4 linked regions of the Caenorhabditis elegans genome follow. The protein of the gene in region 3 interacts with the protein of the main gene of each other region in a pairwise test. Each region holds a gene or a part of one and is shown on either strand. Other genes may lie near its edges. The genes, in order: C39D10.7, fbl-1, lin-37 and tac-1.

Region 1 (7,575 bases), on a different chromosome or scaffold from region 3:
GGCAGTTTGCTGTCCCAATTTAAATGTTTAATGCTTCAAAACTCTTTTTTTCTAAATATAATAATTCATTGAAAACTCAAAAAAGACGTAAGGCAAAAATAAGTGTATATATTAATATGACTTATACGCAGAACTTGTAGTTGGGGCCACATATGAAGCTGTAGTAGTTGTGGTTGCATCTTGTGCTTCAGTGGTTGTCTCGTACGGTTTGTGAGTAGTGGTGGTTGGAGTCTCTACATCGCGAGAGGGAGTTGTTGCTGGTTCTTCATACTGTGTAGCGGTGGTGGTATATGCAGCTTTGTAGAGAACCTTTCCAGTAGTCGTTGTTTGAGGTTGATACGGGGCTGCAGTCGTGGTTGGAGCTGGCTGCTCAAATCTTTTGGTGGTGTAAGTTGTGTAACTAGATGTGACTTCAGCAACTGGAGGTATGTAATCATTGCCACAGTCCTTATTGGTGCTCTTATAATTACAAGTTTGCGTGTCCCCATTGTACACCAATGGAGCAATACAAGTTCCAGACTGAAAAGCATATATTATTTTTGAATGTATATATTTTAATAAACTCACAAAGGCTCTTCCGTTGTCACAGACAATGTAATGTGGGGAGCACATTTTGAGGTGGTGGAGTCCGTTAGATCTGATCGTGCAGAAATCACTTGGCACTCTGAAAGTAAATGTTTCATCAGAGCAGTAACATGACAAAATCTTACGCTGGAGGTGTTCTGTCTAGAGTGGTTGCAATTGAGCATTCCTTTGCGTCAATTGGGAATACACACTTTTCGGATTCCTTGGAGAATTTGAGACTGTTCGGGCAGCTCATCTAAAAAATTTTGCGAAATACTGAACAACATTAATCGGAACATACCTTACGAATCTGTTCATCAATGCAGGAAAAGTAATATGAGGAGCACCCAGCAGAGTAATAACCATCTGATTTTCCAAAACAAGCATTCGAATCGATTATGTCAGATCCTTTGCCGCTAAAATTATTAAAATGAAAGTTGAAAGTTCTTTAAAAAACTAAGTTCATTAGGTACGATTACATTAATCCACCACATCAAATTCAGTACTCCGATATGCTTACATTTTGCATGTATCCACGGTGTGTTTGTAAGCACACATTCCATTCTTTTCGTTGTAAAAAAGTCCGGGGGCACATGAGGAAATAAGTGAACGACCTGCAATTAATAATTGCTTACTTTCAGATAACTTGTGATTTTGCACAGTCTAACCTTGCATGCATTGAACGTAGTCTTGTGAGCAGTACGGAAGAGCATAGATTCCATCAGGACGTCCGGAGCAGGAGAACGCCTTTGCCAACGGTGTGGTGTCTACTGGTCCTGGAGTTGTGGAGGTGTAATCAATGTTTGGGTAGTTGTAAGTTGTATATTTTGTCGTGCCTGGTTGCTCTGCTGCTGGTGTTGTAGAAGGAGTTGGCTTGTATTCTGGGCAATCTTCGACATGCTCCTTGTAGTCACATCGATTGTTCAATTTGCTGTAAAACAATCCTGCGGGGCAACGATTAATTGTAGTCTCAAAGTTGTTGCACGAGATGTAATAGTCCTCACAATCAAGACCGTAGTTTCCATTTTCGAGTCTTTCACAGAAAGCAGCATGCTGTGGCGATGGAGTGGTCACGGATGGATTGTACGCTTTGGTGGTGCTTTGAGAGTATCCATAGTTTTGATATGAAATGACTGGTTGCTCGGCAGCTGGTGTTGCGTCTGTAGTTGGTTTGTACTCTGGACATCCCTCCACATTTTCCTTCACGTCACATTTATCTTGTAGACGACTGTAGTACAATCCTGACGGGCAAGGGAACTTGAATGTTTTACGATTGTAGCATTTGATCAAGTATTTTTCGCAGTCAAATCCATAGTTTCCATCATCACGTTTTGCACACATTGCAGCGTATTTTGGGGATAGAGTTGTTGTGAAGATTGTTGATGTGTATTGTGGTGCGTACCCTGGAGTAACCGGAGTATATTCAATTGGAGCATATCCTTGGGTGGTACTTGGTTGTTCATATGGTTTGCTGGTAGTTTTAGGGTAGGAGTATGATGGAGTGGTGGTTGGTTGGTACCCTTGACAATCTCGGACATTCGTACTGTAATCACATTCTCCGACATATGGATTGAAGATCAGATTTGCTGGACATGTAGTTGCAACGACTTGTCCGTTTGCGCAAATGTAGAATACGCTCTTGCAGAGACCAGAGGCATGGTTTCCATCAGCGAGGTGTTTGCAGGAAAAGCTGGAAAGTATAATTATAACTGGAACACTTTTGACAAAAATGTTGTAAGCTCTTAGGGGGAATTTTTGTTTGAAATAGATTAAAATGGTTTCCGCTGCTTAACCTAAAACATTAATTGAAAAACCTTTAAAAAAATTTTCCTTGAAATTATACAATATACTTCTTACTTTTAAATTGGATAAAATTCGTAATTGAACAATATCTCAAATTTTTTGCCGCTTTTTTAAATCAGATTTCAGCTATTTGCATAATCTCAGATAGTCTCAAATTATTTGAAAAAAATAAACTAGAACATTAAAAATAACACAGCTGTGTCTTTACACATTAGAAGTTTTCCAACTAAAGGAACGCAATTTTTGTCGGAAACTGTCTGATTGAGAAAATTTCTAAAAACTTTCATTCAGTTTCCAAGATGTTTGTTAAATTTCAAATACCTCCAATAGCATTTTTGTGACAGACACTGTCATTGAAGATATTTTATGAATCTAATTCCTTGAAAAAACTGGAAAAAGTTAGATGTCTATTTCAGGAACTCCCAATTGAGTAAAATTGAGTAAAAATTGAGTAAAAAAAAGCTGCTAAAATTTTTATAGTGATCTAGTCCAAAGAGGGAGTTTTTTCCTTGAAATTAAAAAACTCACTCGTCCAAAGCAATTGTAGTTGTGACTGGAGCCTGAGTAGTGTATGTAGCTTTTGGTTGTTCATATCCAACAGTGGTCGGAGCCTTGGTGTAAATTGGACGTCCGTAAATCGTTGATGGCCGTTCAGTGTCTCTTGGTGGCTGTGTGTACGGCTTTGTTGCTGGTTGTTCAGTGGTTGTGTACACTACGGACGACGAGTATCCAATTGTAGTAGTTGGAGTGTCTTCACCTTTGTAAATTTGAGATGGTTCCATGTAGTTTCTGAAATTTTGATTTTATAACTTTTCAAACAATTTGAGATTGGTACTTTTCACAGTTTTCAGCAAAATCACAGGTGCCAGTAGCTTTGTTAAAGACTAGATCGCCAGGACAGTCATTCGCAAAAGCTCTTCCATCGTGACAAGTGAAGAAGCTTTTGGTGCATGCTTCCTTGATGTACTTTCCGTTTGGTTTTCCGGTACAGTCAAAGTCTACTTTCACTTCAGCTGGTCTCTCGTTATAGGCTCCTCCGTGATTGTAAAGAACAGGTACATCTTCTGGTTTTCGTGGCTCTCTAAATTTTGTTTTTAGATTTGACTTATTTATATCATATTTATGAGAAGATTATTACGAAAGTAAATCAACTTCCGATTCAGATTTTTTCTTGAGTAAACCTTATGACAGGGAAACTGACAAAAACTCCAAACCTATACAGTAACAAATTTCAATTTGAAATGAATATTCAACTTACAGACAAATTGCTGCGAATTCGCAAGCTGACACTCTTGTGTCGAATACAAGATTATCCGCGCATTGAATAACCCGACCAACTCCGTTGTCACAACTCAAAAATGATGCGTGGCACTCTTTGATTCCAAAGATTCCGTCTCTATTTTTGCAATCTCCGTGTACTGCTGGATTGTATCTGACTGTTGAAGAGAAGACAGGTGAAGGTGTAGCTTCAGTTGGAACATATGGGGCAGCAGTTGGATTTTGTGGTGGTGGATTTGGTGGAGCTGCTGATGTCGAGCGTGGGACGTAGGTTGTTCTTGGTGGGGAATAGACTGGCGCGGAAGCTGGAGCATATGGGGTTGGATCCACTGGAGCTTCAGCAATTGACCCATAAGAAGAAGAAGAAGTAGTGGTTTTTGGTGCTCTATACGAAGTTTCGGAGCTGAAATAAATTACCCAAAAGTAAGTTTTGTTAAGTTTTCTTCATTTACACAACAAATTTGATCAACTCACCCGTTATATTCTGGACAATCTTTCACAGACTCTGGAAAGTCACACAGGTTTTGGTCCAAAACGTAGATTAGCTTTTCTGGACAAGTTTTTCTGAACAGCTTTCCATTCGAACACTGCCAGAAATATGGGGAACACTTCACGTTATCAGTGAAATGCATGTCTCCAGTAACTTTACAGTCCAATCCTTAAATAAACATTTTTAATGATAATAATACTAGTAAGGCCGAACCATTGTGCCCATTTTCAAATTCTTTGGTAGTGACGATGTAGTTATCCGAATCATATGTTGGTGAAGCATAGGCAGCAGCTGCTTGATCTTTAACTCCTCCAGAAGCATTACAGTTGGTGTGGTAATCGCATCGCTTGAGAATTGGAACGTATACTTGCTGGTATGGACACCTTCAAATTGATTATGTGTTTTCTTTAATAAGTTTTCTGCACTTGAAACTAACTTTCTCATGTAAGATATTCCATTTGCACACTGATAATAGTTTTCATTACACACAGTCTTGTCCAGTGCATAATCCCCACTAAGTCTGCCCACACAATTTATCGAACTGAAATTTTTCAATTAAAATATTTCAGAAAAAATAATTTTCCAATAAAACTCACACGGCCTTTTGGCGGACATTGAGTGTTACACGATCACCTGTGGCACAGAGATGGTTGCTAGAACGACGCTCACAACGTGCTAATAAGCGGTCAAAATAAAGACCCTCTGGGCATGACTGCTCATATTCAACATTCTGAAAATTATATAAAAAATTTTAATTAAATTCAGATTTATGGTTTAAACATTCCCTTACAATAGTTTTCCATTACTTTGAAGTGGTCTCAAAAGAAATAAGAAAAGAAAATAAATATTTGTTTCATTAAAAAATGGTATCAGCTAGAGATGCGTATGGGTCGTAATGGGTCGACTCGCCTATTTCACAGTTATTCTTTTTTTTCTCACAATGGCTCGCTTTTTGTCGCTTTTTTTTCATTTTCAAAGTATCATGAAAATTTTCGAGCTAAAAAAATTTGGTATTATCTTTAAAATTCGAAAATTTGAATTGCAAATTTTTATGACTGTTCTATTGCAAAATATGTGACGTGAAAGGTACAAATATTGCAAATCGTTATAGTATATTTTTTAAAGATGTAAGTTGAAAAATTTAATGTCTGACTTTGGCATGAAATAGTATTTTTTCGATAAAATAATGAAAATAATGATCCCTCCAAAAAATTTAGCTGCCCCGATCCAGGTTCAGCAAAGTTATGACGTTTTGAAAGTGACTAAAACACCTTTTTACAAAATTTCAAAATTTTCAAAAAAAAAACATTTTTTTCTAAAAAGAGGAAAAAATGTTTGCAAGTTGTTTTAGCTCACAACTCTCAAGAAAACCCACAAACTAATCTACCAGAAAAAGTACTTTTTGGAATTTTGCTCAAGGTATGTGGTTTTTTGTCCGTGGTGAGAAAAAACGTGTATGATATATGCTTTTCACTGTTTTGGATAAGTTAAAACAGTTTTTATCGATTTTCAGAAAACAATTTTTTTTTTTGAAATTTTAAAAGTTTTTTTTTTGGTAGGTCAAGAAATTTTTTCGGCACTTTCAAAACATCATAACTTTGCTAAACCTGGACCGGGGCAGCTAAATTTTTTGGAGGGATCATTATTATCACTCTTTTATCGAAAAAATACTATGTCATGCCAAAGTCAGACATTAAGTTTATCGACTTCCCTTGTAAAGCTCCAAAAGAAAACTCACGTTGACACACTGAAGATACTTTGAGCTGCAACCAACAGCATAAAGCCCGTCACCATCCGGGCATGGTGGTCCTTTCGGGTTCAGAACATTTTTGGCGTCCGCCGAGATGAGGATGACAGCCGCCGCAAATATTGAAAGCTGTCGCATCTAAAAAATAAAAAGAAAATTGCGAGAAGAAAATTTGAAAGAAATGTGAATGATTGTTTATCTGAAACACAATGCTTTTATATTGTCAATCTGTTCTGTCTTGGATGGTGGGCGGATTTTGTTCTGCTCTTATTGATAAAAAGCTAGAAAACCTGTAGATTGGAATTCAGATATTGATCAAAAGCCCAATCCATCAGATATTTATTAATAAATAAAAGAATATCAAGCACTAAAAAAGAAAAATGAATCAACGAAACATTCACATTCTTTTCTTTGCAAGTATAGTGTTCAATCTAGAAAGAATAAGTACCTCGAAAACTGAGATCTTATTTTATTTTCGTTTTTCCTTATGACAATCTCTAAGTTTACCGGGTGACCCGGAATGAACGAATTGACGTATCCAGTCAATAGTAATTACGAGATTATTGACTGTTTACCACAAGAAAACACGACTTGCAAATCGTGCAAAAGTTCGGACAGCCTTGGAAACGGATGATGTTCGATGCGCATGTGTTTTTGTAGAAAAAAAACGGATTAGAAAGATATTTCCGGAAACTATAGTATTTTTCTGGCATTGTCAAAATTAACCTGGTTGTAGAATAATTATATCTTCTTAAAAAGTACCTTATCGACGAAACAACATGAGATTTACAAACGAAATATTCAATAAAGTAGCGAATATAATTATAATTAATTGCTGAACATGTTCTGGGTAAGTTTTTTTTGAATCTCTAATATAACGATTAAAAACTGAATTTAACATAAAATCGTTTGTAGCCAAAAAGAGTAAATGTGAAATAGTAGTAACACAAATAATGTTTCAACCGTAATTTTCCTTCATAGTTTAACATGTTTCACTTAAAATTTTATTTTAACTATTTTTATTTACATTGTTAAATATCGCAACCAGTTAATTATCACGAGTGTTTATTCCAGGTTATTTAATTAGTCACACTAATCAATTTGAAACATACAATTTTAAAATAATCAATCTGCATTATTCAATTCGCATACCCTTCTCGAAACAGTTCTGACGTAGTGACCTCTTCGAGCCTCACCATTGCTCTTCTCGATCCCGCCCACAGTTGATATCTCTTATCATTTGAATCTTCCGGCAGCATTTGTCCTGGAAGAAAAATGTTCATTTCCTGATGGGAAAATTTTCAAGCGAGAACAACTATTGCACAATCTGTGATATTCTAACATTTTCCGCATTGCTGTCAAAAATGATATCACTTATAAGAAGTATGAGTATACATGAAATCATTAATTCCATTCCAGGTGAGATGGAAGTTGAAACAGAATTAGAAATTAAAGAAACGTTATATATTTGGAAATTATTCATAGTCTTGTTACAATTAAAAATTAAAAAAAACTGTCTGTTTTCTAGACTACAATAAAAGAAAATGAGACTTTTTTTCGAAAAATAAAAAAGTTTGAAAATACATTCAATTTGTTAATGTATGAAAACGTATTTGAAACTGCTTTACTAAATTCAATAGGGTATTTATTTCAGCTAAAAATTCAATATATAACCTCAACTAGTGTCAAAAAT
Region 2 (6,917 bases), on a different chromosome or scaffold from region 3:
AGCTCAACAAGTTAAATTTAAAGATAGTTTACAATTTTTAAGAGCTGCAGATCAATTGAAAAAAATACAAAATCATTTTTATCGAAAGGATCACAGAGTTCATAATTTTCCAGATATAACTCACTTACAAAATAACTCATGTACTCATGAAAACCTTTATAAATTAATGTTTATAGTCTACTACTAACCAATATTTCTTTCTTGAACAATTCTAAAGTGCCTTTGTCCAACATAATCCAAGTTGTAATCAACTGAAAATGGAACTCCCATATGTGTAACAATTCTTGACACTTCAATCGGTGAGATAATTGTTTTCAATGATGGGACTGCTCTGAATTGATAAAGAACTTCTCGTGTATGATTTCCAAGACATTCGGTATCTTCTGTTGAGCACACTTTGATGCAAGAATAACCATCAGCAATTTGGCTGAAAATATTTTAGACGTAAATTCAAAAATTTAAATTTACTGTTTCATTTCAGAAATATTTAAAATAATATTTTTATTTTATTCGATCTTGATGGGCTATACGAAACATGTCGAAATTGTCATTATCAAAATATTTATTAATCCATGCAAATTTTGAGATCATCACAGCAAGTCACACTATTCAAACATTATCAACAAAACAAAGTCATACAAAATTGTTTCTATCGAATCTTCATGAGCGGTGGATGAACCGTATTATGTCGCTTGTGAGCTGCCACATCGACAATCAGGTTGGCAGCGTATGTGTTGAAGTTTTTGCCTTTTTTGCTCATTCTGAGTAAAAGTTGCAATTTCACTGTCTGTGGTCCATCCAAACTATCCCGAAGTGTTACAACTGCACTATTTCGTTTTTCACCTTTTTGAAGTAAAAAATTAGCTCGAATAGCTGGAAGAACGTTTGGAGCACCTGAAATTAGGTGGGCTAGGGTTAGCGTAAAGGTAATCAAGAAAAACTGCTAAAAAACACTCTTCTAATATGACTTCCTAATTTTTTAGAAATGCTGAAGTATGTGTATTTCAGAGCATTTTTGAAATAGCAGTCTCTATAGATACAGTCAGTAGAAAATTCATACCAACTATAGTAGTCTTCAATTGTAATTCAAAGTTGACTTCAGTGTCTGCATGATTTGGAGCAGAAACTTTAAACAAAGTGATTGCAGGACGATGAGATGAAATAGGTACAGCACGTGCCAAAGAAATAAACTGATAGGTTAAGAATAATGGTACTTTTGAACATTCTTCAGGCAAACCACATGCTGATGGTTGACGATTACAACGACTGAAAATATTGTTAGTGGAACATTCAAACGTATTAGTTCAGATACTTTGCAGACATCCAATTTTCTATTAAGACTATTCATGAATTGGGAAATTTCAAGAAAAATTAGGGTAAGCTTATGCAAAAATTATATAGCTTTAAAAACTAACTTTTTGTTCAACGAGTCGTGAATATAGTTAGTTGGGCAATCGATGGAATGACATTTGAACGATCCAAGTGTATTAACACATACTTTATCCGATCCAGCGCATTCTCCCATGGCACACTCGTCAACATCTAAAAGTATTTGCAATGTCATAAAATTTAACTGGAAAACCATTTTCGAGACAAGAATTCTTGTTCACGAAAGTGAAGTTCAACGAACCAACACAAGTTCTTCCATCCGGTTGAATTTTGTATCCAGGTGGACATTGACACAAATATGATCCTTTTGTATTAATACATCCTCCCATGCACAAATCGTTTCCAGACCCCGCCCAAATTGAGCATTCGTCAATATCTTCGCATTTTGTTCCATCAGGACCAAGTGCAAATCCTCGATCACAAATACATTGATAACTTCCAGGAATGTTAACACATTTCTGTTCACATGCAGCAATTCCAGTTGTACATTCATTCACATCTTCACATCGACGACCATCTGAAGCAAGCTGGAATCCTGGTTTACACTTGCATTCAAATGAACCAATCTGAAAAGTGAACTGAAAATGAGGAAACTTCAAAGCAAATTCGTACAGTGTTAATACACTCGGCTGATAAATCACAAACATGACCAGCAAACTTGATACACTCATCAACATCTTCACATCTCTTCTTCTGAAATAAATCTTTTTTGTGATTATTTTTTTTCTTATTACCGCATCATTAAATTCATATCCAGGTCCACACTTGCATTTGTACGTTCCCGGAAGATTTATACATTCCATTGATCCACAGACTCCTTGTTGGCATTCATTCACATCTGAAAACCGTATTTTATGGTTTTAAATATTTTAGAGTTTCAGTGATATTAATTGAAAGTAAACTTTAAATTTCATTAGTCACAAATAAAAAACGTACCTTCACAGAATCCAGTAGCTCCGTTAACTTCATATCCATGAGCACACAGATTTCCTTTTTGTTGGCATCTGAATGATCCAGGGGTGTTCACACATTCTTCACCAGCTCCACAGTTGTGGCCAGTAACACACTCATCGATATCTGGAAAGTATAGTATAGTCTCCCCTTGTAAATATTATGAAACATTAATTGTTTTTAGTTTAACAACTGAAACACAATATGATGTAATAAAGACTCGCCATTGCACATTCCGTTCTTTGGATAATATCCATTTGGGCAAGTAATCGATGTACATTCTCCAGTCATTGGATTCTGAAGTTCTCCATCTCCACATTTTTTTGCGTCGCATCTATAATTTAATATGAATTTATTTCAATGTTCCAATCACGAACCTATAACTTCCTTGTGTATTTCTGCATTGATAGAGTGGTCCACAGTCATGAGATCCCAAATTGCATTCATCAACATCTTCAACAAAAAAATATTTACAATTAAAAGTGTTATTCAAAATTATCAGAAAGCAATTGTTTCTAGAAGACGCCAAAAATTAGAAACAAAAATTCAAACCACGACACCGCTCAGTTTCAGAGTCCATTGCATAACCAGTTCCACATGAAAGTGTTCGGATGCATTTAAAGCTTCCAGGAGTATTCAAACATCGTTGAGATTCCAAACAATCGTCCATCAGTGTGGCACACTCATCAATATCTGGAGTTAGTTTTGGTTAGTTTTTCAGCAAGCGAGTTTGTCAGTGATGTTCAAAATTTTCGAAAAATATTATATTGTCAATTAACATAGCTTCCAATTTCTCATTCAGTTAGTCATTTAAAAAGCAAGAACCTTCACACTGCGAGTTAGTATCACTCCAATAATATCCTCGATTGCAGACACAGGAACCATCGCCACGATTATTCCCAGGAGAGGGTAGACAATGTTGATTAGAATGTGAACATGGATGATGGAGAGAACATTCTAGGGATTGAGGGTTAGACAGACAGCACACGACAAATATTATTTCAAGAAACAGTTAATTTAGAATTAGATTAAACTTTAATTTTTTGAATTTAAAGTGCGCAAAAAACAATAAGCACACAACTTTTTAAATTTTGTTTTTTTTTTAATTTTCTTGTTAAATTATCTTACCAACGCAATGTCCATGTTGAAAAAGCCATCCCATTGGGCATCCAAACTCTGTATTTGCTTGTGATGCTTCTCTATATTCTCCAGCACGAGAATATGGATCGTCTCTCATTCTTCTTGGCGCATTGCCAATTCGATTGGCACGATGACGATGGGGAACAAGACGAGAAATTCTTCTCTGACAGATATATCCACCAATTGTGTTAACACAATCTTCAGACTGGGTACATGGGGATTGGCGGGTTAAACATTCGTTACGATCTGAAAGAGAAGCACAAAAGGTATGTGGGTAAGCTAGAGGACCGGGAATGGATGTAGTGAAAGTGGGAAAACTTTTTTCTGAAATCGTGAAATAACAAAAGAAAATTATCAAAGCTGCCAATTTGCATAAAATACATACCAATTTTCAGATAAACAGTGTGATGTTAATTTTACTATGTATTTTACTATTAATTTTATTATTTTCCATTCAAAATTAAATTTTCGAAAAGTTCTAACTTGGTTTTGACCTGCACAAAAAAAAGCGTAAAACATATTCATACCTACACAAGCCATTCCATCTGGTGCCAAGTCGAATCCAGATCTGCAACTGCATTCAACCTTTTCGCCTCCACGATCATGACAGAGGTGCTCACAGTGAGATGACGCACATCGGTCGCCGAGATGAAGTACATGTGGATCATTGAGTGGACGTCCTGTAAAACATGAAAAAACAATTTTAACATTAAATCGGGTATTTTTTATGAAAAGTTCCGAATTAAATTATTTCAATTTTTTAAAAAGAAATAATATTGAAAATGTTCTGTTTTCCTACCAGTTATGATCTCGGAAGCATGTGTGATTTCAATGTCACCATTACAACATTTATTGAAACTTCTCAAACATCCAGCTGAAAATCCAACTGGAGCAACACACGGTTCATTTCGATTGAGCAAATCTTTGGCTAGAAGACAGCAATCACAACACTCCTGAAATCCATCTCAATTTATATTTTTATTCGATTTTTTAAAATTACTTTTTTCAATCCACCTCCCAAAATATTTATATTACTTGGGCAGCTCTCCTCTTCTTTTGCAATATCTGTACCAGAGTCACATGCATTATCCAATAAACTTCTGAGACAACATATGGATGCAGCTCTTTGGCACGTCATACTTGTTCCTTCGCTTTTGATACTTGAACAAGTATTTGAATTCTTGAAATGACGAGTTCCTCCAGCACAACATCTTGTAAGTTCGTTGGCAAAGGTCTCTGAAAATTTTGAAAGTTTCCCGTTGTTTGTGATAGTTTTCTTTTTATGGATAATGTTAGAAAATGGCCTATTTTCAAAGTGTTTTTGAGGGCCCTCTTTATTAATTATTCATAAAATTTAAATAAATATTTGAAAAAATTTAAAAAGCTTACCTGCCACCAAAAATGCCAATAATAAGAAACAAATTCGCATATTTCTATCCAATCTACTAAAATTTCCACGGGGTTTCCGTAATTCTGTAAGAAAGCAGATAATGTTGTAACGGAAACACAAAAAGTTGTGAATTGGAACGGAAGTGGCACGACACAAAGAAAATGAGTAGGATTTCGAGGAAAGATCAAATAATATCACATCATCATGTGCTCATTTAGATCATATTTCGTACACAGGGCAAGTAAAAAAAGTTTGTACTGAAAACTTTCAGATTTTTAAAAAAAGAAGAATAAAAGAAAAAACTCCCATAAAAACAATGAAACTGATAAGAATTTATGAAAACGTGTGAAAACCTCACAAAAGCCGTTTAGTGATAAGTGTTACGCAAGACGCAAAAAGAATGATAAAACAGAAAATAATAACAATAAAAATAGCACAACATATTACTATTCTTATCACATTTTGCTCAAAAATTCGTTGTGTCTAAATCGAAAAGCTTTCCAACATTCCCGATTTGGAACCGCCCATCTATCTGCTTCTGCCTGCGTCTCATGTTCCCGCATTTTCCTTTCTAATCTAAGCTTATTGTTATTAATATTATTGAGATGTATGTAGATGTATATGTGCCCGTAAATGACACGGATAATAGTCTGGTTAATTAAGTGAAACAATTTCAAATGAGCATTGAAAGGAAGAGGGAGGAGCATTGGAACAGATGTTTACATGGAATGTTTCGAGGAAATGTGAGATTTTGGGTATATTTTTAGAACAGAAAAATGGCAAACGACACTGTTGAAACCAAAACAAAAAATTTATTTGAATTATTTTAGTTTTTGAAAATATTAAATTGAAAAAAAACGGTCTTTCATTGGAATAGCGCAAAATTGATCGACGGGGTTTATGGTGGATTTATAGTTAAAATCGGAAAATACCTATCCGATTTTTGTTTTACGTTTCAGGGCAACAATCATACTTACTCAGAATTTGGAGCTGACTTCTTGAGCAGTTTTTTCCCAAAAAATAGACTTGGTTGAGAAGTTGTGAAGCTTTTGCACAGTTTGAGTTAGACTTGTGAAACCATTATGAAGCTATTACCAAAGTATCTACAAGTTTGAACAACTATTTCCAATGTCTTATCCAATGTTACAACGACACAAAAAAGTTTTTGTAAGATACTGGCAAGAGTTTCCCAAAATTCTCTCTTGTTCTAGAGTTGGAAACGAAAATGGATAAAAAATAAACGCCAAGTGTTTTACAAGTTTTTACAAGTTTGCATATTTACAAGTTATATACATTTTCAAACTCGAAAACAGTATTTTCATAATCGGCAAGTGACTCATCTGTTTGAAACCTCTAAATAAAAAGTTTAACACTCAATCGCAACATAACACAATGTGAGAAAATGATACATCGTCAGTCAGTCAGCAGTCTTCTTCATCTTTTTTCTTTTCGTTTACATGATCAGAAGCATTTTCGAGGGCGGAGCTCGTAAAAAGAGATCGTAAACGATGGAGGAGGAATGAGTTCACATGTGATGGTACACATTCAGAAAATAAAATGAAAATCTTTTTTGAACTCAAAGGCATGAATGTTGGAAAAACATTGGGAAGTGGGGAAAATGGTGGGAAGTTTCAGGATTTGATTATTTTTGGTTAAAAATCCGGCAATTTCTTTTCTCGTTTGTATGAATATATTTCTTTTCTCGTTTGTATGAATATCTATATTTTAACCGTTTAAATTTCAGATCTTTTTGAACATAATTGAAATTTTTAAAGATTAGATAGATTGCAGTTTTTAAAGTTTTGTAGGAAATAACTGAAAATAAATATGTTCTTTGTTTCAAAAAAAAATGACTGCCAAATATTTGACACCACAAATTTTGTATGCGCCTTATACCTCTGATACTCGTTAATTCGGAGCCTCATTTTGGTTTGGAATAAACTAGGGGTGGCGATAGGTCGACCTGTTGCAACCTATTGCCACCCCTAAAGAAACACCGACCCGCTAGGTAGGTAGATTGCATAGACTGCATGGCTCACAGAGAGCA
Region 3 (3,856 bases):
TGATAGAAAGTCCTATTCAAACTTCGCGCGTAAATGGTTCTCAATAAAGCGCGGTTGCACTACTCTTTTTTTGTCGCTCTTCGTCAACTTCTGGTAGCGTGAGCCCTTCAAATATCATCATTCAAATGCCCATTTTATCGATTTTATTGAATTTTAGTTATTTTAAATCCAATGATTATTCTCAAAATGAATTTCATAATCATCGGCTGGTGTTTTTGAAGGTTTCTAGTGTGTCCAAACGAAATTTATAGTCCTAAAATATTAACATTCAGTAATTCATAATTGCTTAAGAATTAAAAATTACCTTCTTTGTTCCTTGATATCAAGTATATAGTTTTAATATTAATTCAATATCTTTCAGGTAAGCTAAATCTACAAAATGTCATTTTTCCATTTCATCAATTGCTTCGCGTTGGCATTTGCACCATATTTTATTGTCTACAAATACTCAGGTAATATTTTTTATGGGAAGTCAATGAAACACCACTATTTTTATAGGAATTAACGAATACAGTTCCATCTGGAAATGTGCAACTGCTAGTGGTGGATATTTGCTGACACAACTCGCCAAACTGCTTATCATTGCCACATTTTTCCCAGCCCTCGACAGTGAAGGATTCAGTATTGTGCCGGTATGTAATTAATTTTTCTATTCAAAATTGGAGCTATAAATAACGTTTCAATGAAAATCATTTTAATTCAAGTTTTAAGTGAAATTTACCATAAACCCATCCTCGCCGGACATAATCCTTCGGACACTTCAAACTTATTGATTTTGGTTTTCATTGCCAATCTCAGAATCATTGCAGGAATTCCTAAAAAGCAGTGCTGACATCATCGATGTCATTGGGCTTCACCTTCTGATGACCAACTTCTTAGCCGGAAAAGGAGAAGTTCGATTCGTTGTCGGTGGTCTTGGCTGGGGATTCGCTCATTCTGTTGCTCATCGTCTTGTTCTTTTATGGGTTGGAGCTCGTGGAACCGCTTTCACATGGCGTTGGGTTCAGGTGATCAAATCTTCCTTTTTTCTGAAAAAAAGATAATATTATATTTTCAGACATCTCTTGATTCCTCAGCTGATCTATTGGTTATTGTGTCTCTCGCCTGCCTTACATGGATGATCACCCGCACTCCAAACAAGTTCTTGGTGTCACCGATCCTTGCGATGTGTGTCTTCTCAACATTCGTTTATCAGTAAGTATTGGTTTTACTAGTCAAAAAATGTAAATTTTTTTTTATTTCAGAACCGTTCAACACACATTCTCTCTCTACGGATGGTCTCTCTTGGCATTCCGCTTTGCCTACTCCATCGCAACAGCAATTCTCACCGTCGTTGTCTATTCGGCAAACCGGACAGCGTCCACAAGAAAGAACGAGTAGCAACACATATTCTGCTATAATTCACTTTTTGTCAGTTTCAATACTATCTTAGATTCTTTCAGAATTTATATATTTATTCGAAATTTTCTTCTCTCCTTGTTCATGTTTATACAAGTACCCAAAAATATTTATTGTTTAATTTAATAACTGCTTCAAAAATTGTCGTCCTTATATTTACTCTACAATTTTTATCTCTTTTTATTAAAGGTTAAATACCTTTATTACTTTGGCAAGTATTCGCTGTTCACTGTCCAAATAATGTATTCCTCTCCAATTCTAGATGTCAGAAATAGATCCACTTGCCGAGTTCTTGCTTCCAGAAGACGGAGATCGAAATGCTCGTCAAAATGATCCATTGATAAGCGGAGGTCCACTTCCATTGGAATCGCCAAGCAGAAAACTCACGTAATACTTTCTAAACTTGAAACAATTGTGCTACTCAAGATGCTTCCAGATCCCTGTTATCCTATGATCCGACAGTTCCGGAGTCACCGGATATGAAATTCGCCAGAAAACGTCTGGGAAATCTGCTGACAACCATAAAACATCACCCATCGGAAATAATTGGAGTACTCCCAGAAGATTATACGTAAGTGATAAAATGGAAAATTTCAATTCTTGTTTAATTTTCGGCAGAGTATACCATGCCTGGGGCGAAAAATCATTTTTTTTTTGGTTTTGATTTTGTATCAAAAAGCAAAAATATGTAAAAAAGCCAAAAAAAAATTGGAGATTGAATTTTAAACCTTAATATTTGAGAAAAAGAATTAAAAACTATGCAGAGCCACATTTAGTTTGAAAGAAAAGTAAAATAAATTTTGTACACAGAAAACGTTTACAGTAAATACAGCATTTTTTTTCAGTTTTTTGGTTCCAGATAAATAGTTAATTTTTGTCAAATGTCGCGTCCTGGAATATACATAACAGAAAAAAATTTAGACAATGTGGACCTTTTTGTTTTTCGTAATATAAATTTTAGACATAATTGAAAAATTAGAGTTTCCATTGCATTTTTTATAATTTCAGTCGTGCTGATGAAGAGCCCGGGCGCCAAGGACGTCCACCAGGTCGCCCTCGTAAGATGCCGCGTCACGAATCTTCAACTTCACTTATGGAATCACCACGCAAGACTATGACTCGTGATTCTAAAATTATGTTTGAATTGCGTGGAAAACCATTCGAAATGATAGCTGGACGTTTTGAAGAAGAATATTCACTTGGTAGAGCATGGGTTAAAGGACACATGAATAATGAATATGAACCAATAAAAGCTCAAAGGACAGACTATGCACCGAATCTGGCTGTTGTGAGTGGGAAAGATTAAATGAAAAATGTTATAATTATTTCCTTCAGGATTATCTTGCATGTCGCGAGATTCATCGAATGCCACGTCCAGATAAATCAATTCCTGAGCTGCCAATTGTTCCATCTAGAATCGATGAATTCGACGCTACAGTCGATCCAAGATATGAAACAGATTTGAAAAATGAATACATTCGTCATTGGAAACAAGTCAAAAAAGGGTAACACTTCTTCTGCCATTGAAAATTTCCGTAAAAATTTATTTCTTAAAGTATTACGGTAACTGTGCTCTATGTTAGAATTTCATTTGTCGAATTTTGTATCAAACTATAAAATAAAAAATATTGTACTAGCAATCTGTGATCACTACTATTTCTTCAAAGTCAGAGAATCCAAAAAAAAAAATTTCAGTTGGTGTGCTCATCAACGTCGTCGGACTGCTCCCCATGCAAGAAGCATAGCATTAATCAACAAAATCTACCAGCCTGGAGAGTCGAAAACTGTCGAGCAAGCACTTGGTCTTATTTAAATATTCTAACATGTAATTTCAATTTATCTCTTACTTTCTGATCTTGCTATCACATGTCTCTTATTTCAAAAATCTCACTTTAAAATTCATATAAATAATGGGTTTATTCAAATACATCATCTTGACAATTGTTTTTTCAACGTTTTTCTTCCACTTTTTGGAGATTTTCCTGAAGTTTTCTCGAGCTCGTCAGCTACTTTTTCTTGTTGAATCTTGTTAATATATTTTGCAACTTCTCGTTCGGCAGTTTTCATCAAAGCTTCTATAGCGAATACAGTCTGAAATAGAAATATTTTGAGAATATTCAGATTTTTGAATTTTCACTTGAAATCCACTAAAAATCACAATCATTGTGTAGAAAACGTATTCAAGTGGGAGATTCAGAAAAGAGCCATTCACTGCCAAGAATACTGTAAGAGGAATTTGAATAATAATTGTAGTTATTAAGAATCCAAAAAGAGCTGACATCTGTAAACACTAGTGTCGATTTTCTGACTTGACTCATTCAAAACTTACATTTTCTGCCAAATTTCCATAAAATCCAAGTCCTAGCCGTACTCCTTCACTTCCCAAATGAACTAAACACGCAGAAAATGCAATTACTTGATACGTTAATGACAGCAGACTATGCTGAAATTCAAATAA
Region 4 (3,116 bases), on a different chromosome or scaffold from region 3:
ATGGCGATTTTCGGTGCTCCATGAGTTGGGCTCGCTGTGGAGGGTCGGGCAGCGCCTCCTGCAGATGATGGCCGAGATGTTTTCAGAATTTCCACTTTTTTCATCTGGAAAATTGCAAGATTTTAATAGAAATTTTGAAAGTTTTGCATACATTTTAATCAAAAAATTCGCTCAAAATCCATGCGGCAGTCTGAAAAGAGGTGTGCGCCTTTAAAGATTACTGTAGGAATTTTATTGACTTTTATTACAAAAACCTCGTAACAACGCATAAATTGTTTGGAAAAACAAGTGAGAACTAAAAAAATCAAAACAAATTCGGCCTGGAAATTACAGTACACTTTAAAGGCGCACACATGCTTGCATTTGGCAAATGTTTTTCGTGTCGAGACCGGGCGCTGTATCTTTGGCGCGAAAATTTAGAAGATTGTAGTTTTTCTCGGTAAAATACTGAAACGAAGCCTTTTGTACTTGTTTCTCATACAAATAATCTGGAAAACAAATAAATAAGCTGAAAAATTCATGTACAATTAGAAAATATAAGGCGGAAAGCGAAAAGGCGGGGGGAAGAAATATTATATTTTACAGAAATAAATTATGCATCCGTCGAAATAACGGACATCCCATCGGAAACGTCGACATCATTCAGAAGTTGATCGCAAATCTGTGAGAGCTCCGACACGCGGTTCGTGAGCACCTTGATCTCGTCGTTCTTGCTGGAGAGCTCGATTTCCTGGCGTTTTACACGCAGACGGAGTCCCTTTGTGTTCTCATCGTGGGATCGGAGAAGATCGTCGTACTCCACGGATGCTCTGAATTGAAATATATTCTTACATGTTGCAAATTAAATTTTCTCTCACTCACCTCTCAAGCTCAGAATTCGCATTATCCTTGACGGCGAGGAACTTTGCCTGCCACTCGTCAACTTCGGCGGCGGCGAGCTTCAGCTTGTCCCTCGCGTCCTCGTACTCGCCGCGGATGTCGTTGGCGGCTTCGCGAACCGTGTTGAACGAGGCGAACAGTGTCGCGTAGTTGGCGTGGAGCTTGTCGGCTTCGGCACGGGCGGCATCTCGATCTTTCAGCGCTTTTTCGAGCTCCTCGCTTGATGCCCCGCCGCCTCCGATGCCGTTTCCTGGCGTTGTTCCGTTGCAGCGGCCTTGTGAGATGATTTGGCCGTTTGAGCAGCGACGGACTTCGAATTCTGAAATTAATATGGTTTTATTCCTCTTAAAATCTCTTTTAGCAATTTTTCAAAGCTTCTCACCATCCGAGTGCAAGAGCCGCTCGATCAACTCTGTGAGCGCCTTCGTCGTGTGCTTCATCACAATGATGTCGCCTCTCGTGGCACCGCACAGTGTCTCCACTGAAGAACTGGGCTCCGCGGCTTCTTCAACCTCTGGCTCCTCGTTCTCCGGATGCCCATTTTGCGACCCGTTGAATGGGATGACGACCTCGGTTCCGTCCTCTTTGGTGAAGGTTGTGTTGAGCGACATCTGAAAATCGGATGAATTTAATAGAAAAAACCGACATTTTTCGTGAAAAACGGAGAAAATTAACGATTCTTCAGTTTTCCCGCGTCATCATTTATTTTCGTGGTAGGAAAATTGTTTTGAAGATTAGTATGCGCCTTTAAAACTTCTGTAGTTCAATTTTCTTGTTTTACAAGGCTTTACAAGAGGGTTTCAAAATAATTGAAACAAATTTTTAATTAAAAAAGTCATTTTTTAATTTTTAATTCAAAAAAAATCAGTAAAAACCATAACCAACAACAAAAAAAGCACGAAAAAAGAGTCCACAAGAGTAATCGTGGCGGGAAAATCAATACAAAAATTGGACTGCGCCTTTAAAAAGTACTGTAGAATTTTTTTAAAAACATTTTTTGTTATCTTTCAATTTTCAATGTTTCTCTTCATTTTAAACTATTTTAATGATTAAAAACACATCTTTATTGCGAAAAAAATTAATATAATACACTTTTGCATAAAAAACCGCCAAATAAAAGTGCAGTTGGCCTAGAAAGCGCTAGGTCAGAGAAGGGAAGCGGCCAGGACCTTATTTTGTTCATTTTTATTAATTTTCACCTTAAAACAGAGAAAAAAACAAAAATATTTGGCAATTAAACAAAATAGAAATTAAAAGTAATTAAAACTTAAAACTTCAGAAAAAAATCGATTTTTCAAAAATTGCGAAATTTTGAACAATGTTTGAACATCCTTCTCTCTTGAAAAATATAGTTTTTCATTTTAATTTTAATTCTAATTTTACAGCTGCCAAACTAGGTACAAAATGGATCTTCTCAACTATATCGAACGAATTGGAGATGGTTAGTTAGCTTTTTTTCCATTTTTTTATTAAAAAAATTTTTACCAGATGTTTTTTCAGATCCACCCTCACCATCACGGGTAGCAAGCTTCCACCAGGAAATTCAAATTCGATTTCCATCGGAATTTCTAGAATGGTCGAATTGTGAAGCTGAACAAGAAGGTTTTTCAGAAGCTCCAGAAGCTCTTTCCCTACCCCAAGTGCCTTCTACCTCGGGCTCTGGGAGCATTTTTCAGCCGATTGCTGACACATTGCTTATATATTTTCCAGATACGTTTGAGGTTGATTTTCGGCTAAAAAATCAAGTTTCTAACCTATTTTCCTTCAGACAATATCCCAAAACCTTCTACAAATGTTGTGCTCGACACGTTCCGATATGGATCTACAGGGCGAGCTCATCGATCTTCTCGGCGTCGAATTGTTCGAATTAGCCGGAGATATACTCGAAAAACGGAATAAAATAGTTTTCGAGGTGAAGAGCCAGGAGCTGGCGAAAGTTGAGCATGCGAGGCAGGCGAAGGCGAAGGTAATAGTTTTGAAAATTTTAAAAATTTGCTCTAAATGGCAGAATATAACAGTGAAAAAATTTATAAAAATTTTCTAATTTTTTTTTGATTTTTTGAATTTGGTTTTCTGGCTGTTTTTTTTATTTTTTTTCCATTTTTTACAATTTGGAACATAATTTGTCAATTTTTCGGACATTTTTCCACAAAAAACGTTTTTCAAAAATTAAATTATCGATTTTAGGCTAATTTTAGAGTTTCAACAAGTTTTTTACGGAAAAATTTCTGAAAATT

Evidence for each region.
Region 1: the proteins of lin-37 (region 3) and C39D10.7 interact in a two-hybrid assay, tested with the Caenorhabditis elegans proteins (3 studies listed by BioGRID).
Region 2: the proteins of lin-37 (region 3) and fbl-1 interact in a two-hybrid assay, tested with the Caenorhabditis elegans proteins (3 studies listed by BioGRID).
Region 4: the proteins of lin-37 (region 3) and tac-1 interact in a two-hybrid assay, tested with the Caenorhabditis elegans proteins (3 studies listed by BioGRID).

What each region holds. Positions count from the first base shown.
Region 1 is NC_003284.9:7,907,911-7,915,485, forward strand, and holds C39D10.7 (Chitin-binding type-2 domain-containing protein), read right to left. Parts: upstream 6,021-7,575; coding exon 5,874-6,020; intron 4,866-5,873; coding exon 4,732-4,865; intron 4,677-4,731; coding exon 4,572-4,676; intron 4,519-4,571; coding exon 4,349-4,518; intron 4,304-4,348; coding exon 4,120-4,303; intron 4,049-4,119; coding exon 3,626-4,048; intron 3,449-3,625; coding exon 3,203-3,448; intron 3,157-3,202; coding exon 2,896-3,156; intron 2,255-2,895; coding exon 1,233-2,254; intron 1,179-1,232; coding exon 1,085-1,178; intron 981-1,084; coding exon 866-980; intron 821-865; coding exon 711-820; intron 665-710; coding exon 568-664; intron 520-567; coding exon 112-519; 3' UTR 56-111; downstream 1-55.
Region 2 is NC_003282.8:9,538,844-9,545,760, reverse strand, and holds fbl-1 (Fibulin-1), read right to left. Parts: upstream 4,954-6,917; 5' UTR 4,910-4,953; coding exon 4,870-4,909; intron 4,717-4,869; coding exon 4,481-4,716; intron 4,434-4,480; coding exon 4,280-4,433; intron 4,161-4,279; coding exon 4,008-4,160; intron 3,727-4,007; coding exon 3,469-3,726; intron 3,034-3,468; coding exon of another isoform or gene 2,893-3,033; intron 2,794-2,892; coding exon 2,718-2,793; intron 2,675-2,717; coding exon 2,565-2,674; intron 2,467-2,564; coding exon 2,326-2,466; intron 2,228-2,325; coding exon 2,124-2,227; intron 2,083-2,123; coding exon 2,002-2,082; intron 1,956-2,001; coding exon 1,631-1,955; intron 1,543-1,630; coding exon 1,416-1,542; intron 1,267-1,415; coding exon 1,061-1,266; intron 895-1,060; coding exon 650-894; 3' UTR 518-649; downstream 1-517. UniProt on the Caenorhabditis elegans protein: Incorporated into fibronectin-containing matrix fibers. Plays a role in cell adhesion and migration along protein fibers within the extracellular matrix (ECM).
Region 3 is NC_003281.10:7,070,357-7,074,212, reverse strand, and holds lin-37 (uncharacterized protein), read left to right. Parts: upstream 1-1,660; coding exon 1,661-1,785; intron 1,786-1,834; coding exon 1,835-1,969; intron 1,970-2,406; coding exon 2,407-2,686; intron 2,687-2,733; coding exon 2,734-2,903; intron 2,904-3,093; coding exon 3,094-3,211; 3' UTR 3,212-3,323; downstream 3,324-3,856. Other genes in the region: ZK418.5 (BOS complex subunit TMEM147), read left to right, coding at 380-452, 499-632, 810-1,007, 1,058-1,194, 1,245-1,380; tmem-17 (transmembrane 17 domain-containing protein), read right to left, coding at 3,328-3,489, 3,557-3,679, 3,728-3,841.
Region 4 is NC_003280.10:14,752,386-14,755,501, forward strand, and holds tac-1 (Transforming acid coiled-coil-containing protein 1), read right to left. Parts: upstream 1,493-3,116; 5' UTR 1,491-1,492; coding exon 1,262-1,490; intron 1,199-1,261; coding exon 862-1,198; intron 810-861; coding exon 593-809; 3' UTR 506-592; downstream 1-505. Other genes in the region: smg-9 (Nonsense-mediated mRNA decay factor SMG9), read right to left, coding at 1-104; Y54E2A.4 (Activating signal cointegrator 1 complex subunit 3), read left to right, coding at 2,284-2,320, 2,380-2,600, 2,648-2,845. UniProt on the Caenorhabditis elegans protein: Involved in microtubule formation, polymerization and assembly, regulating microtubule nucleation and length. Plays a role in pronuclear migration and mitotic and meiotic spindle elongation during early embryogenesis.